2 linked regions of the Stegostoma tigrinum genome follow. The protein of the gene in region 1 interacts with the protein of each later gene in a pairwise test. Links are inferred from orthologs where the notes say so. Each region holds a gene or a part of one and is shown in the gene's direction. Other genes may lie near its edges.

Region 1 (7,753 bases):
AGACTCTTCATGATTACAGGTTTCCCATTTGGTTTCTGTCAGCATTGACTGCATTATTGACAGGTCTAGAGTGGTTTCCCACTGCTGAGTTCAGATAATGCGTTCTCAAAACGTCAACCAGGCAGGGAAAGCATCTCCACTTCTATATTGATGAAAAACATGTTAACCAAAGGTCTTCCTTCATTCATAATTAAATCATCAGGCTTGTATTTTTCTCCCTTTTAGTTCAACCTCAATCAGGCCTCACTGACAATTTCACCAGATCAAGAAACACTCGACTATTGTGATTTAGATCCACAAGGCACCACCATAAAAAGAGCACTGGTAAGTTTTGGTGAACAAAACTAGTTAGAGATTTAGCATGACTTACTAACCTTGAGGGTGCTATAAGGATTGAAAATTTCAAATGAGTTAGGCTTTTGCGCAGTTAGACTTTGGGGGATTGGTAGTGTGGTGGTAATATCACTGGACTAGCTAACCCAAACGAGATCAGGGTACAAGAGATCAAATCCCACCATCAGCATTTTAGCTAGTAAAATTTATGTTCCATCAATAAACATGTTGGAATATAAAACCGGGCTCAGTGATACTGGTCAGAAGACTGCAGTGAAATCGTCATGAGTCAAATTCATATCACCTGAAACTCTGGTCACAGTCAATTTGTCATCCGTTCCCACTGACTAAATAGGAAATCTAATGGAAAAATGTCTGTGATAATCCAAGTTCCAGATCACCACGCCAACTCACTGTGATGGAGTGAGGCCACGCTGGAGCACAAAATCACAGACAAATCTGCAGCAATGGTCACAAAGTGATCTCACCCTTGTCCTGAACAAGGATGCACTACAAGACATTTTTAACATGGCTGAAACTAGACTGTTTTACTGTGTTTTATCAGATTGCACTATACTGCTCAAAGAGGAAGCATTTACTAGAAGGAAACTAAACATACTACGGTCTTCACCAATGTGAGTGGCACTGAAAATCTACTGCTTCTTGTGATTGGAAAGATGGAAAAGCCACATTGCTTTGCAAATGTCAAGCTGCTACCCACACAATATGAGGCTAATTAGATGACCTCCAGTATGTTAGAGGCCAGGAAATCACAAAATATAACAGCAAACTATCACCCTGTTGACCAATTCATCCACCTGTTTTCCAAGCTGAAATCACAAGGATGTTTTAAGGTATCAGCTGATCTTATTACTGAAATAAAGCTGAAATCTGGCTTGATTGATCATTGTTTTGTTTTGATTTAATTTTAACTAGATGGTCTCTCATTAAGACTAGAACACACAAAGTTGCAGATTTTATTTTAACATAAAAACAAATTTATTAAGCAACAGAATTTAAGATAATATAGTTCAAACTAACTGATTTACTTAAAACAAATTAAAAGAGTTTCAAACACAATAAAAGTTTAAGTCTAAATGTTCCCTTACGAGTTTAAAAAAATCCCTTGTACAGCAACTAACATGATTCCCTGTACAGTACTCATACCAGAATCACTCTCTCTAACACCTCACTAGATCTAAGACAACTCTGACTTTACCTTTGAGAATGAAAGGACTGTTAGCTTGTTCATGGACCTATCATGCACTTGAGTTAAACAAACTCAGATTCAAGTCCTCTGGGGTTTTAGTGCAACACTACTGGTCTGAGACAATCACTAACTCCTTATTCTGAGGTAATCTAGTTCATGATATTCTCCCTTTTCAGGAGTACTATGCATGCATCTCTATGCAAGAACTTCACAGAAATGTCAGAAAAAAAGTTAAACGGGAACAAATCTTCTCCCACTACTATGGGTATTTTTAAAACAATACTCCCAATGTAGAAATTTCCAACAAAATCCTTGAGATATGATTGTTTATTTTGCTAGGTCAGAAAATCTGTAAAATAGACACAGCCCCCATGGACTGCTGCAGTTGCCTTCACAAATACTTTTTAAATAAATTGCCATGTTTAAAGAAATACCACAAGTTAATTATTTACTTCAGGCGCGTGGAAAACCTACATGTAACTTAAAATTGAAACTCACACTGAAATAAATGATGTTAAAAGTATGCACAAGCCAGTTTCTATCACAGGTGTTATACAGATGCTCCAGGATTTTTCACTACTTCACTGAAACACAAAAAACACGTTTGACTTCATTGATCCTCTCTGAAGACAGCCTGCTAAGTAGAAAGATATTACTCAGATTTCCACAGCTAACTCCCATCGTTTTTCAATGTCTCTTACAGCACAAGGACAGGCCATTGTAAGGTATGAACAACTTGAAAAATAAAGGCATTTTTCACTTACCGTTTCTTTTCTTTCTTACATACGGTATATTTGGGGGCGATTGGGATTTTAAATGAATAAAGGTAGAGATTGCTGGAAAAGCTCAGCAGGTCTGGCTGTATCTGTGATGAGAATTTAGAGGTAACGTTTCAGGTCCGGTGGACCCTTGCCCCACAGTTCTCAGAAGGGTCACCAGACTTGAAACGTTAACTCTGAGTTCTCTTCACACATGCTGCCAAACCTGCTGAGCTCACCAGCAATGTCTATTTCTGTTTCTGATTTACAGCATCCACAATACTTTCGGTTTTTATGGGGTTATATAGGGCCTTTTTCGGCTAACTTTAATCTCTATTTAACACAAATTTGTGGCCAGACCTGTTGTAATTTGACTTGTTGCCATTGTACCGTATCATCAATTGTTACAATAACATTTCGTTCAGTAATGTCTTTTTAGGGAAGGGAATCTACAATTCTTACCAGGTCTGGTTGACATCTGACTCCAAATTCACAGCAATGCCTTCAGCCCTTAATTATTGAGCCACTCAGTTAAAGTGCAATCGTCAACAAATACAGGCCCTGCCAGCAATGCCCACACATGATGAAAAAATAAGGAAAAAGTAATACTCCCAGCACCTGAATTCAGGTCAAGATGGAACTGTAACTCCCATTCTGCCGTAGTATTGATCTTTTGTGTCTGCCCTGAGTTACCTTCAATCAAATGGTCATCACAAAACAGATCATTTAGCCCATCGTGCCTCTGCTGATTCTCTGAAAAAGTTATTCAGTTATCTCCACCTCTTGCAGTTTTTCAAAGCACCCACTCATTCAATTATCTTTAGAAAGTTCCTATTGAGTCTGCTTGCGCCACCATTTCCAGTAGCGTACTTCCAATCATAAACAAGACAACAGTGTGGAACTGGAGGAACTCAGCAGGCCAGACAGCAACGGAAAACCCGAAACGTCAGCTTCCTTGCTCCACTGATTCTGTCTGACCTGCTGTGTTCCTCCAGCTCCACACTGTTATCTCTGACTCCAGCATCAGCAGTTCTTACTATATCCGATCATAAACAACTCGTATTTAGAATAAATCTCATCACTCCGTACTTTGCGCCTATGCTTTGATAGTGCAGGAACTGCTATTCACGCATTTTCAACACCAACTGAAAATACGATAGTCTAGACAAAAAGGATGATGCAGAAATCTTTCTTTGACAATTTGACTTGGAGCAAGGCCACTGCTGTTTCCTAAGCTGTAGCATGAACTTTGTCATTAGGACTTGCTAGAAAATGAACATTTATTTCCCATTTGGAACTTCTTTTGAAGTAGATACATGTTCCCCCACCTTTTCCCAAAATAGGCCATATCTCCATCGAGGAAGAGGATAGCTTGCTTGAAGGCAGCATTATGTCTACGCCTTTCTCTTAAACTCATCAAAAAGTGCCTGCTCACCTTTCCCCAATCAATTTGTGCAAATGGGATTGGGCGAGTTATATTAAAATATTCATTTTTTTTCTACTGTTGACAGAGTTACAATGCATTAGGGCATGCACTCAACTCATAAGATAAAGCTTTAGAACATAGAACATTACAGCACAGTACAAGCCCTTCGACCCTCGATGTTGTGTCGACCTGTCATATGGATCTCAAGCCCATCTAACCTACACTATTCTATTCCATATTTAGTGGAATGTTGTAATCCAAGATAGACGTAAATTTGTCGTAAGTATATATACGTTTGTGTTTTGGTAGGTAAAGCCAACGTTGATGTTAGTATCCATGTATATGCAGTGTGTAGAATGTGGAGTTCAGCCTTGTTACGTTAATAATCAGTCAGCTTCTGAGAGGCAGAGATAGATATGTCACTTCCAGCTTAATGCGTTGATCAGCATTTTTCAGGCATGTCAGTTATGCACCAACTTTTGACCCATTCCAGCAAGATCCTTTCTCACATGCAAAGAAAAACAACTTTGGCAGTTGTTTTGACGGCAGCCATGCGGCAGAGCATGGGGACTAAGCAGTGGCAGGGCTTTGCACAAGGGCTCTCTTAGTTGTTGTGGAATGGAAAATCATAATTACATGTTTCTGCGTGTATAAAAATAGGCGTAGGCAAAGAGGCAGGAATTGTGGAGATGCGAACGGGACAAAAGATGGGCAAGCTGTCACTCACGTTGATCGATAGTCGGTGTTAGCCAATAACCATCCGGCGCCTCTTCCGGGTGTCCGGAGCTCTGTCCAATAGGTGGGCTGTGGGGGCGGGCGCTGTATAGGGACGCTGCTGGAGTCGGTAAACGCTGTCAGTGCGGCCGAGTGAGTGTACTCTTTCGGGTAAACTGACAGATAAGCCTCACTGACTGCTACAGTACTAGCTCTGGACTTTATATTTAAGCAAAGTAATAAATATTATTTGAATTACATATTGTAATTCTGTTTCGATATATTTTGGGTTTTTTGTTTAAAACGAGAGCAAAATGCAGAGAGAGAAATATTTGCCAGAGCTGATGGCAGAGAAAGATACTCTGGACCCATCTTTTGTTCATGCTGCGCGTCTGCTGACTGAAGGTAAGTTGTGCAACCGACAATTGAACGTGTTGTGCACGTTACTTGTTCCACTGACGGATGTTTTAACGATCCACATCTTTGTATTTTGATCTGCAAAATTACTACTCCTTCCCCTAAAAAAAACCAGCAGCCTCCCTCCGAGTGACCTAGAAACGTGTGCGTGTAGTGATGGAGTGATACTCCTGTGTGTGTCTAGGGTGCTGCTACATAAATCGTCCTTTTACACAAATCCTCAGTTGTGACTAACAGGTGTTGCTGCAGGTTTAAGTGAGCTGCGTCCTGGCTCCGGTATTGCTAACAGCTGTGAACTCTTTGCGTGCTTAGATATATTTGTGAGAGTCAACAATGAGCAGTGTTTGGTATTCAAATATCGGTATGTGTCTGGGAATGTGTGCTTACTTGTGTGTGTGTGTGTGTGTGTGTGTGTGTGTGTGTGTGTGTGTGTGTGTGTGTGTCAGGAAGTGTGCCTAAATATTTGCTTATCTGTATGTCTGTGATAATATGTCTTTAAATTTATACAGTAGCTGTGTCAGCTTCGGTATATATCTTCTGATAAGTGTGTGTCTGTGTGCCTGAGCATGTATCTGAGCACATGCGCCTCTGTGCATACCTGTATGCCTGAGCACATGCGCCTCTGTGCATACCTGTATTTTGTGTATCTGTGAGTGTATGTGCATCTATGTGTACCTGTTTTTGAAAATATGTTGTCTGTGCCTGTACGTCTCTGAATGTGTTACTGTGTTTGTCTTTGAGTGAATGTGTCTACATGTATAGATCAGCAGAAGCAAAGCTCAATGCTAAGGATTCAAAATCTAATCCATAAATGAAGAACGATTATCTATTTTGTAGCTTAAAGATTGAAAATCTTGATAATGTGTGAGAGAAGATTTTGAGTTTTGTTTGCTGTCATTACATTGCAACTTCTGATGATGATGGTTTTCTTTTTTAATGTGCTCAATTATTCAATGTGTCTTAAAAATTTATGAAACCAGCCCAAGCTTCCCAGTGCCGTTTGGAAGCTTCAAATTGGGTGCTGGCTCTGAGCTACAGAGGGCAGCAGAGCAACGTGCAAACCAGGCAGACAGTTCAAGTTTGGAGATCAAAGGCACCCCTCCATCCTCCCCAACCTTCAATTCTCCCTACCAAAATAATCCATGTCCTTCAGTGGTGTGCCTGTTGAAGCTTAATTCATGTTTTGAGACAGATAGCTTCTCCGTTGCAAGAGAAATTGCAAGGAAGTGGCATTTTTCCCTCTTTTCGCCTACCCAAAGTCTTGTTGAATAATTCCTGGAACTAACCACTGCCAGCTATTAAAGGATAGGACTGACCTTTTGCAACTATGACAGGTGTGGGGATGGGATTGCAGAATGGAGTTGATACCTGGCAATCTATGTGATTAGCAAATCTGTAGCTCTTGTTATCAGTTAGCTGTTCAGAAAAAGGCACAGAGGTAACTGGGAAGATGGTAAAAAGAAATTCTTGAGGATGATATAAGAAGTAAAACCTTACATTTATTGGGGATGGTTATTAAGCTGGTTTTGTATCATGTAGTTCTGTGCTGGCCACTTGTCTGTTTTCAACAATATTAAAATGAATGTATTTGTCAAATATATATCTTTTGTCTTATGAATACCTCAGGAGTACTGCATTTCACACATTGGCAGTTGGTTTAAACAAGCTCTGCTTTCTGGTGGGCTCTGTCACTCTGCAGTTAAGAAACCTATACAAGGCCTGATGTTGAGGATTCACAGGTTGCAAGAGTCAAGTTTCATAATTAAATGCAACAGAAATATTTGATTCGTTACAAAATCTCTTCACCACTTTTGATTCCATTGATGGAAGGATTGAGAATGAGAGGGCACCAATTTAAAATAATTGATTAAATGAAGCAGCAGTGCATGGGAAAGATCTACCTTGCAGAGAGTGATCTAGAGTCACAGTCAGAATCATACAGCATGGAAACATATTTTAGTCCAACTCGTCCACGCTGAACAGACATCCTAATCTGATCTAGTCCCATTTGCCAGCATTTGACCCCATCTCTCTTAAACCCTTCCTATTCATACACCCATCCAGAAGCCTTTTAAGTGTTGTTTTATACCCACCTCTACCGTTTCCTCTGACAGCTCATTCCCTACATTACGATGCAGTCCCCTCTCACATTAAGCCTAGTTTTGGACACCCCGTCCTAGGAAACAGATCTTGGCTATTTACCCTATCGATGATTTTATAAACCTCTATAAGGTCACTGCTCAGCCTCTGACATTGCAGGGAAAGAAACCCCAGTCTATTCAGCCTTTACCTATAACTCAAACTCTCCAGTTCTGGCAACATTTATGTAAATATTTTCTGCACCTGCAAGTTTAACAACATCTTTCCTCCTATAAAAGCATGGCCAGAATTGACTTATGATTTTGGAATACATTGCCTGAGCGTGCCAATGCTGGCAGATTCAGACTTGGCTTTCAGAATTGAATTAGATAATCACCAGTTGGCTGGATGGCCACTGTGATTAGTTTGACGCTAATAAACAGGATTCAGCTGGGAGAGGTTCAGGATCTGGTTCCTTGCCTTACCCAGGGTGGAAGTCATGTTGCTGAGGTGGACAAAGGACTCAAAGAAGATTTTTAAAAAAACATCCATGTAACAAAGGTATTTCCACTTGTGGAGGCGTTTGAAACAAATGGCTATAAGATATAACCAATAAATCAGCTAGAAAATTCAAGAGAAACCAATTTATCCAGACAATGCTGTGATTGTGGAATTTATTTCAACGTAGAGTAAATGAGGAGAATGAGATATATTTGGATAGTGATAGTGTCACTGGACTAGTAATCCAAAGCTAATTCTTCTGAGACACTGTTGGTAGAACTTAAATTCTGTGAATAAAGTTGGCAGATTAAAATT
Region 2 (7,894 bases), on another chromosome or scaffold:
CTCCTCTGACTGCCATCTTTCTGCTCTACTTGATTGTCATTTTGCTCCATACAGTCTCTCCCACCAATTGCAAAGTCATTCTGCCTCCCTGCTGGTTCTCTGCTAGGATGTGTCCTCGTGCTGTAGGCATTGCCAACCAAAAATGTAATACATGGGTTTCCTCTTCCATAACATAGAACAGAATCCAAAAAAAAATCCCAACAGTGCGGGAGCAGGCCATTCAGCCCATCAAATCCACAATGCTCATTGCACCTAGTCTAAACATCCCTGGATACTATGGGCAACTTAGTATGGCCAATCCACTTTACTTGCACATCTTCAGACTGTGGGAGGAAATCAGAGCTCCCAGAAGAAATCCACGCGCACACAAGGAGAATGTGCAAACTCCACGCAGGCAGTGGCCTGAGGCTTGAATTCAACCCGGGTCCCTGAGACTGTGACACAGCAGTGCTAACCCCTCCCACCTTTTTTTTATATTTCTCTCTCCATCCCCTCCTCCTGCCGCTCATTCCCACAAAATGGTGGATTCATGCCCAAACTGATTGGCAGCTGCTCTTTGAGATTACTCCAAATGCATGGTTGCCTATAAATTGAGGCCTATGTTTCGGTTAAAATAGCAGACAGAATTACCTTTCACTGCTTGCAGAAGAGTGCAGGCTTAAATTCTGAACAGTTCTGAAGAAGAGTCACATTAAATATGAGGTATTAGTTCTGTTTCCCTGTCCACAGATGCTGCAAGACCTGCTGAGTTTTTCCACCACTTTCTGTTTTTGATATTTGAAAATTTTCAGACTGCTCAATTGTAAATTTCTGAACAAGGAAGATAATTTTTCAAGTATTACAAGTCCATAGTTGTTGCCAATAGATATCTTTATTCAAGACATGTTCCCATAAGTGTGATTCTTTGTGACTTTTGTTTAATTTATCATTATATTCTGCTTCTGATTGAACTGAGAATAAAAATGTAATTGAAAACCTCTTTGCAGTTATAGTCTGTCGCAGACACTTTGTGATTTGTTTTTCATTTAATATCATAACATTTGCTGTGGGACCAAAAATGATTGGGTTCAATCTCTCTAGGTGCTAAATGACACCTGTAATAGCACATCAGTTAGTAAAATAAGGTGGGTACAGAAAAGTGAAATTCTGGACAATGACAACTGAAGTCCAATTTTCCAGCCAAGTTCCTAATTGAGAGATAAGAAATTTGTTTGAACATTGAAATTTAGCATATATTATGGCCTAACTGGATATGTTGACATCTCATTATTACCTTATTTCATGTCACGTATGTCGTTTGCAATTTCCCCAGCCTGTGGAGAGAAACCAGACAATGACAATCCCCAACATGAGAGTCAGAGCAGGCACCTGACTAGGCTCTAACTTATCACTTGCCCTTCCAGACCTCCATCTTGACCAGCAGTCCCCAACACCTCAAGGTGCACTAAATGGGCAGTAAATACCTGCTTCCTTTATCTATAGAGGTTGGCATCAAATGCAAAGCAACTGGTCCACACCTCTGTTAACTTGTTTCCATTTGCAATCTGTTCATTTAGATGAGAACCAATCAGTTTCACTTTTAAATAACTCCTCAGTTCCTGATTGCCTGCAATTGTAAGGACACAAGTCACAAAGACAGAGTTTGCAATAGACAATGAATTCCTTTCCACAAAAAAATTTGGAGGCGTTCTGGTAAATCCTTGATTTTAAAAATTGTTCTTTCTCCTTGCATCCCACATTTTTAAGGACACAGAAACAAAAGACACAGTTCTCACACTTCTGATCATCATTTCAAGTCATGTGAAAATAAAACTGATTCACTAATGTTCTTCTAGAAATATCTGCCTCTTCTTCTACAAGACCTCAGTACGCAGTGTGTGCCTTGCAAGTGACATACTGTTGAATAATTGCTATTAAATTCATTAATTGGTCTGGCTTACATGTAACTCTAGATCCATGACTGTCCTCTGAAGAGACAGAACTCGAACAGTAATTTAGCATTAGCCTAGGCACAGAATGAAACAATAAAGCCACACCCAGTCAAACTTGTAAAGCTTTTCTAGCTAACATCTGGGACATTGTCCAAAACTAGCAATAGCTTTCCCACAGGCTAGTCAAGCCTGACATAGGTTCACATCTTTTAGCCAACCAGCATCCCTTCATATGTCATTTTCCATGAAGTTCTGTGGCATTTGATCATTACGAACTTGAGCAACTGCCTATTGCTCCCCCTCATCCTTTCTCCCACCCACAGTATGCCCCAGTGCCACACAATATTACTATTTTATAGAAACAGATGTAGACCACATTACTCCAGAAGCAAACATACAAAATGCTGGATGAACTCAGTAGGTGTGGCAGCATCTGTGGAGAGAGAAACAAAGTTAATGCTTCAAGTCCAGTATGACTTCTTCAGAATACTGCTCGTCAAGCCTAATTCCTCATTCAATACAATCAATTTTTACCTTAACTTCACTATTCCCGTCCACCTGCCAACTCATTTGATTTACTGAGAGATGAAGTCTCTGAATATATTCAAGGTTGGAAAAGATAAATGTTGAAGCATTCACATCCATTTGAGGTGAAAGAATTCCAAAGATTCACAATCCTTTGAATGAAGAAATCTCTCACCTCATTTCGAAATGATCAAGTCCCTATTCAGAGGTGTCAGCCACAGCAACTTTCATGAGAAGGATGCACCAAAATAAGACATGGAACACGACCGCTGCTAAGGCACAGGCCATTTTTTTTTAAAAGAAAGGAATGATATTGGAATAGGCTTGTTGAGTTGGCACTTTCAGGTAAAAAAAACTAAAAAGAAAGTTTTACATTTGTGTAGCACTTTTCACCACCACTGGATGCCTCAAAATGCTTTACAGCTAATGAAGTACTTTCAGTGTAGTCACTATAGAAATGCAATTTACTTCACAGCAAGATCCCTCAAACAGCAATGTGATAATGACTGGATAATCTGGAGATATCAGAGGTAACTTCCTGCCATGAGATCTTTTACATCTACCAAAGCAGGCAGATGGCACAGAAACAAAGTTGCTGTAAAAGCTCAGAGATAGAAGGAACTGCAGATGCTGGAGAATCCGAGATAACAGGGTGTAGAGCTGGATGAACACAGCAGGCCAGGCAGCATCTTAGGATCAGGAAAGCTGACATTTCAGGCCTAGGCCCTTCCTCAGAAATGCTTGTTTCAGGAGTCGCAGGGAGAAACGCTTCTGAAGGGTCTCAATGTTCTGAATGTAGATATTGTTGCAGTTGGGGCCAAATTGGGAAGGCTTGAATGTGGGCTGTAGCCTTGCTGGAAAAGCTCAGCAGGTCTGGTAGCTTCTGTGGAAGAGAAAACAGAGTTATCATTTCAGGCCAGGTGACCCTTCGTCAGAACTCAGCTTGCTTTAATACCTTATCATAAAGACAGCCCCTCTGATGGTGCAGCACACCCTCGGTACTTTGCTGGAGTACTGAGCAGTAGCAGCAGAACCATCCCTATGGTCAGGTGAATCAGGACAACTGCCCAGGACACTACACTTTGGGGGAGCCTGCACCAGTATCATAGGTAGCTGGAGTGATAGGTGAGAGTGATACATTTCCAGTTTGGTTAGAAAGCAGTAAGGCTTCTTCAATGCAAAGATGCGTCAAGGAATTCCAGCCTATAATTCCAAGAGGATTGCAATATAATTATCGAAATCTGGAGCAGTATGGAACGCCTTTTATGGTAAACACAAAATTCTTGGCATTGATCATGATTGGTCAGTTTTGTGTTTGTTAAAAAAAGAGCATAAGAAATAAAAGGGGGTTAAACAATTTACACTGGTGAATGGTAAACACAATGAATTGGAACTTGCAGACTCAAAAACTGGTGTTTAGAGAAGCGTGGGGTATGGGGTGGGCCGCACTCTGTGATCTGCCTCATCCCGTACAAATCTTTCTCCACCCCACCCCAACCGCACACTGCCACCGGGGGTGGGGCCCCACCGCCAACCAAGTAGAAGCCTTGACTTTTTTTCTAATGAACCTGTTTGGGCATGGTATGACACACATCCATGCTATCACATCCAGAGGGGAGAGTTGACCCAGACCTTCCAGGCCAGACACAGGGATGCTACTACTACACCACAAAACCTTGATCATTAATGCTTACGTTCTGGAGTGGGGCTCAACCCTTTAACCTCGTGACTTAAAGGTGAGGTTGTTACCAAGAGAACCACAGCTAAGTTGAAGCTGTAGTGCAGCGTGAGGAGGAGTTCTGGTACAAACAGTGATGTGGGACTAGCTGCCACTTGTTGGGTGCTGGGATGATGTGGTGTTGGGGCCAGAGTGTTGAGGTGTTGTTCCTCTGCAGTGCCGATGGATTAACCTAAGGATGCTAACAATTATTACAGTGGCTGCCGCTTTTCAAATTTCCCCAACATAGACAACTCGCCTTCTTCATTCCATCTTGTCTTCACGCTCGTTGGATTTAGGCTCCAACTGGTAAAATATTCTTGGCATTTTCGTTCCGCACAAAGTATGGACACAGCCCAAGGCGTGGTTTAAATAGCATTGCCTTCTCTTAGAACACTCTCTGATTACATCAATGTAAGTAACGAGGAAGTGAGATGGAAGCTTGCATTTTCGAAAATGTAACAAGCAGGACCTCACCATCGTCCCTGGAGGTGGAGAGGGCAGCAGGGAGAGAATCTGAGTAGTGTTCACCTCCATGGCCGAAACCTTACAAAGGATCTGTCCCTGTTTAAATTCCATGTGGAATGTAATCTTCGCTTCTAGACAAAGCCCTGAGGGTGACGGAGAGAAGAATTTACCACAGCGTCGGAGTTCTCTGGTATCTACGCCGAAGGAGAGCGGGGGCAGCGTTTACACGGCGCTGTATGACTTTAGCGCCAGGACAACTGAGGAACTGTCTTTCCAAGCCGGGGATGAGTTTGAAATCCTTAAGGAGGACGACCGTTCATCGGGAGCTTGGTTGTTTGCAAAGAAACGAACTCATTCCAAGGGCCATAGCTGCACGGGATATATTCCTTTTAATTATGTTGCTAAGAAAGAAAGTGTAGCCACTGAGCCGTAAGTGCTTTCAAATAGTTTTCACAGCATTTATGTCTGTAAATCGATTTGCGAATTGTACTTCAAGACTGACAAGTGATGCTGGTGGCTGTTCGATTCAGAATTTTCTAATTGCTGAATTCGTTTGAGAGAGGCAGTTTATTTGGGGTTTATGACCTTAAAGGTGTCAGTGAGATGGGCAGCTTGGCGAATAGTGAGGCAGAAAGCCGGAGATTGCAGCTGTCAGTGGAGGGGTAAGGACTCCGATAAGCGCTATGTGGAATTTCATTGGGAGGAATAAGGTAATGCACTTGGAAAGAAAACAAAACCATGGTAAGGAGTTGCACAATGACTTGAGACTAAAGTGTAGAGGTACAGCGGGACCACTATGTCCACAGATCACTGCATAAAGTAGGATAAGATGTAGTGTGGTGGAATTCTCCCCACTTACCTGGAGCACTGCAGCTCCAACAACACGTTAGGAGTTTGACATCACAAAGCAGCTCGATTTAATCTGTATCTCATCCACCAAGTTAATCATTCGTTATCTCCATCACTGACACACACTAGCAGCAATGTATACCATATACAGGATGCATTGCAACAAATTACCTCGGCTCCTTTGACAGTAGTTGCTAAACCTGTACCTTCCAACAGACACATGGAAGTCAGACACCTGCAAGTTCCCACCAAGCCGCACAACATTCTACCTAGGGACTATATCGTCATTCTTTCACTGTCTCTGGATCAAATTCCTCTTTCCTTAACCTGCACAAGATAGAATGCAACAATTTAAGAAGGTCGCTCACTACAACTGGCTTCAAGGCATTTAGAGATGATAGGCAAGTGCTGGCATTTTCAGCAACATTCACACTTGTGAATAAAGAATTGAAAATGTTGTTGAAATAAATGCAAGGTACTTTCATTTACTTGATGAGGCCTAGAGTATAAGATAAGAGAGGTTATGCGAGGTCTGTATAAAACATTAGTTATGAGGACGTTACTGGCGAGACAGTATTTATTGTCCACCCCTAATTAGCCAGAGTGCAATTCAGAGTCAATCACATTACTGTGGATCTGGAGTCACGTGTAGGCCAGAACAGGTAAGGATGGCACTTTCCTTCCCTAAAGGACATTAGTGTACCAGATGGATGTGTTCCACCAACAATTGATTCATGGTCCTCAACAGATTCCTAATTCCAGATATTTTATTGAATTCAAATTCCACCATCTGCCATGGCAGGATTTGAACCCAGGTCCCCAGAATTTTAACTGGGTTGCTGGATTAATAGTCCAGCAATAATACCACTGGGCCATTGCCTCCCCTTTTGGCAGACTAATGGTAGAATTCTGGTCACAGCCTTTCAGTATAGAGAGTACAAAGAAGAATTACAATTTTTGCTGTGAAGAAAGACTAGAGTTGCATTCTTTGGAAGAAAAGAGCAGACATGTTTAATAATATTATTAAATATAAATAATCATACTTAACTGACATGCTTAATATGAGTTATTTGAGAGTACCTATTGCTCTTAGCGGAAAGGTCAGCAACTATGGAGACTGATTTAAAATAATTGATAGGATTAGAAGGGATGTACTGAACCTATTGGGCAATAGATTAAGTGCTGAAAGTGGGAATTGACTGGATAATTCCCCTCATGACACAGGTATGATGGGCTGGATGGCTTTTTGAGGAACATAAGAAATAGGAGTAGGCCATTGGGTCTGTTGGTTCCTTTTTAGTGCTATATATATCTGTGATTTTGAAATTTCATCACTTCATGCAGTTTTTTGCCCATAAACAAATAAAAGAGCTGATGATATTACAAGCAAATGATGAATGTGTTCATGTGCAGTTTGCCCTTTGTTTTGATGAATGTGTTGGATCCATTTTAAAAATGACATTAGAAAATAAATAGAATTGGAAGGAGGCAGAAAATAAGCAGAGCTCAATCATGCCCACACCAGAATTCCAAATATTGCATTTGAAATTTGGCCTTAACATCAATACTTGGAAGTTCAACATGGTACTGGCAGTTTACATACACTCCTGATTAGAAGATGAGAAGGATGAGGAGGAAGAAGGGAGGAGGTGGCCTAGACAGGTTTCTTTTTGGCCAGCCTAGGGTCAGCTTATTCACAAACAAAACCCCAAATATCCTTTTATCAACAGTACCTGCTGTTACCCTCTCTCTGTTACTGACCGTCCCAAAGTTTGCTTGATCACAATATGAAAATAATAGCCAGCACAATATAAACATTCTAAACAAAATTTACAAATCAAAAGTATTCTAAATTGCACACAAAAACCAAAAGTTGTACACTGTGTTGTGCCTGTCTGTTACATGCTTTTATCTGTCCAAGTTGCCTTTTGCAGAGCTATCCCAATGGTTGCATTGTGCCGAGTGAAAGCCCACTAATTTTCAGTGAAGGCCTTGGAGGGCAGCTTTAAGCAGCTTTGAGCTCCAAAGACCAAGCTTCAGATTTCAGACAACAGCAAGGACATGGCAGGTGTAGCAGATGTGGGAAGATCTGTCCTTTTTCCCAGGACAGCCCATCGGAAATCTGTATAATCGGCTGAAATCCAGCTTGCTGAACCGTTGTGTGACCCCGAATGTACTTTTGAGCATTTGTATTTGCTCATTGACAATGGCTGTCATTGTAGCTTTTGTGCTTACTTTTTGAGCTTGCCTGAGAGCAGTCTGTACTTGCATGAACGTGAGCTGATCTTGCATAACAAGAGTCTGAACTTAACATGAGCGCCTAGAATTTCTGCATCTGCTGTGTGTGTTATAGTGGAAGCTGAAGCATTGTTCATCGGATGTTGCATCATCTTTGGGTACACAA

The links. The genes of interacting proteins can lie anywhere in the genome.
Region 2: the proteins of KH domain-containing, RNA-binding, signal transduction-associated protein 2-like (region 1) and protein-tyrosine kinase 6-like interact in binary tests that used the Homo sapiens proteins (3 or more experiments, as listed by UniProt). The two-hybrid records come from large-scale screens. The link is inferred for Stegostoma tigrinum from reciprocal best matches to the Homo sapiens genes KHDRBS2 and PTK6.

Annotation. Positions count from the first base shown.
Region 1 is NC_081357.1:91,080,730-91,088,482, forward strand, and holds the start of KH domain-containing, RNA-binding, signal transduction-associated protein 2-like, read left to right. Parts: upstream 1-4,573; 5' UTR 4,574-4,755; coding exon 4,756-4,846; intron 4,847-7,753. UniProt on the Homo sapiens protein: RNA-binding protein that plays a role in the regulation of alternative splicing and influences mRNA splice site selection and exon inclusion. Binds both poly(A) and poly(U) homopolymers. Phosphorylation by PTK6 inhibits its RNA-binding ability.
Region 2 is NC_081372.1:28,831,119-28,839,012, forward strand, and holds the start of protein-tyrosine kinase 6-like, read left to right. Parts: upstream 1-4,458; 5' UTR 4,459-4,708; coding exon 4,709-5,070; intron 5,071-7,894. UniProt on the Homo sapiens protein: Non-receptor tyrosine-protein kinase implicated in the regulation of a variety of signaling pathways that control the differentiation and maintenance of normal epithelia, as well as tumor growth.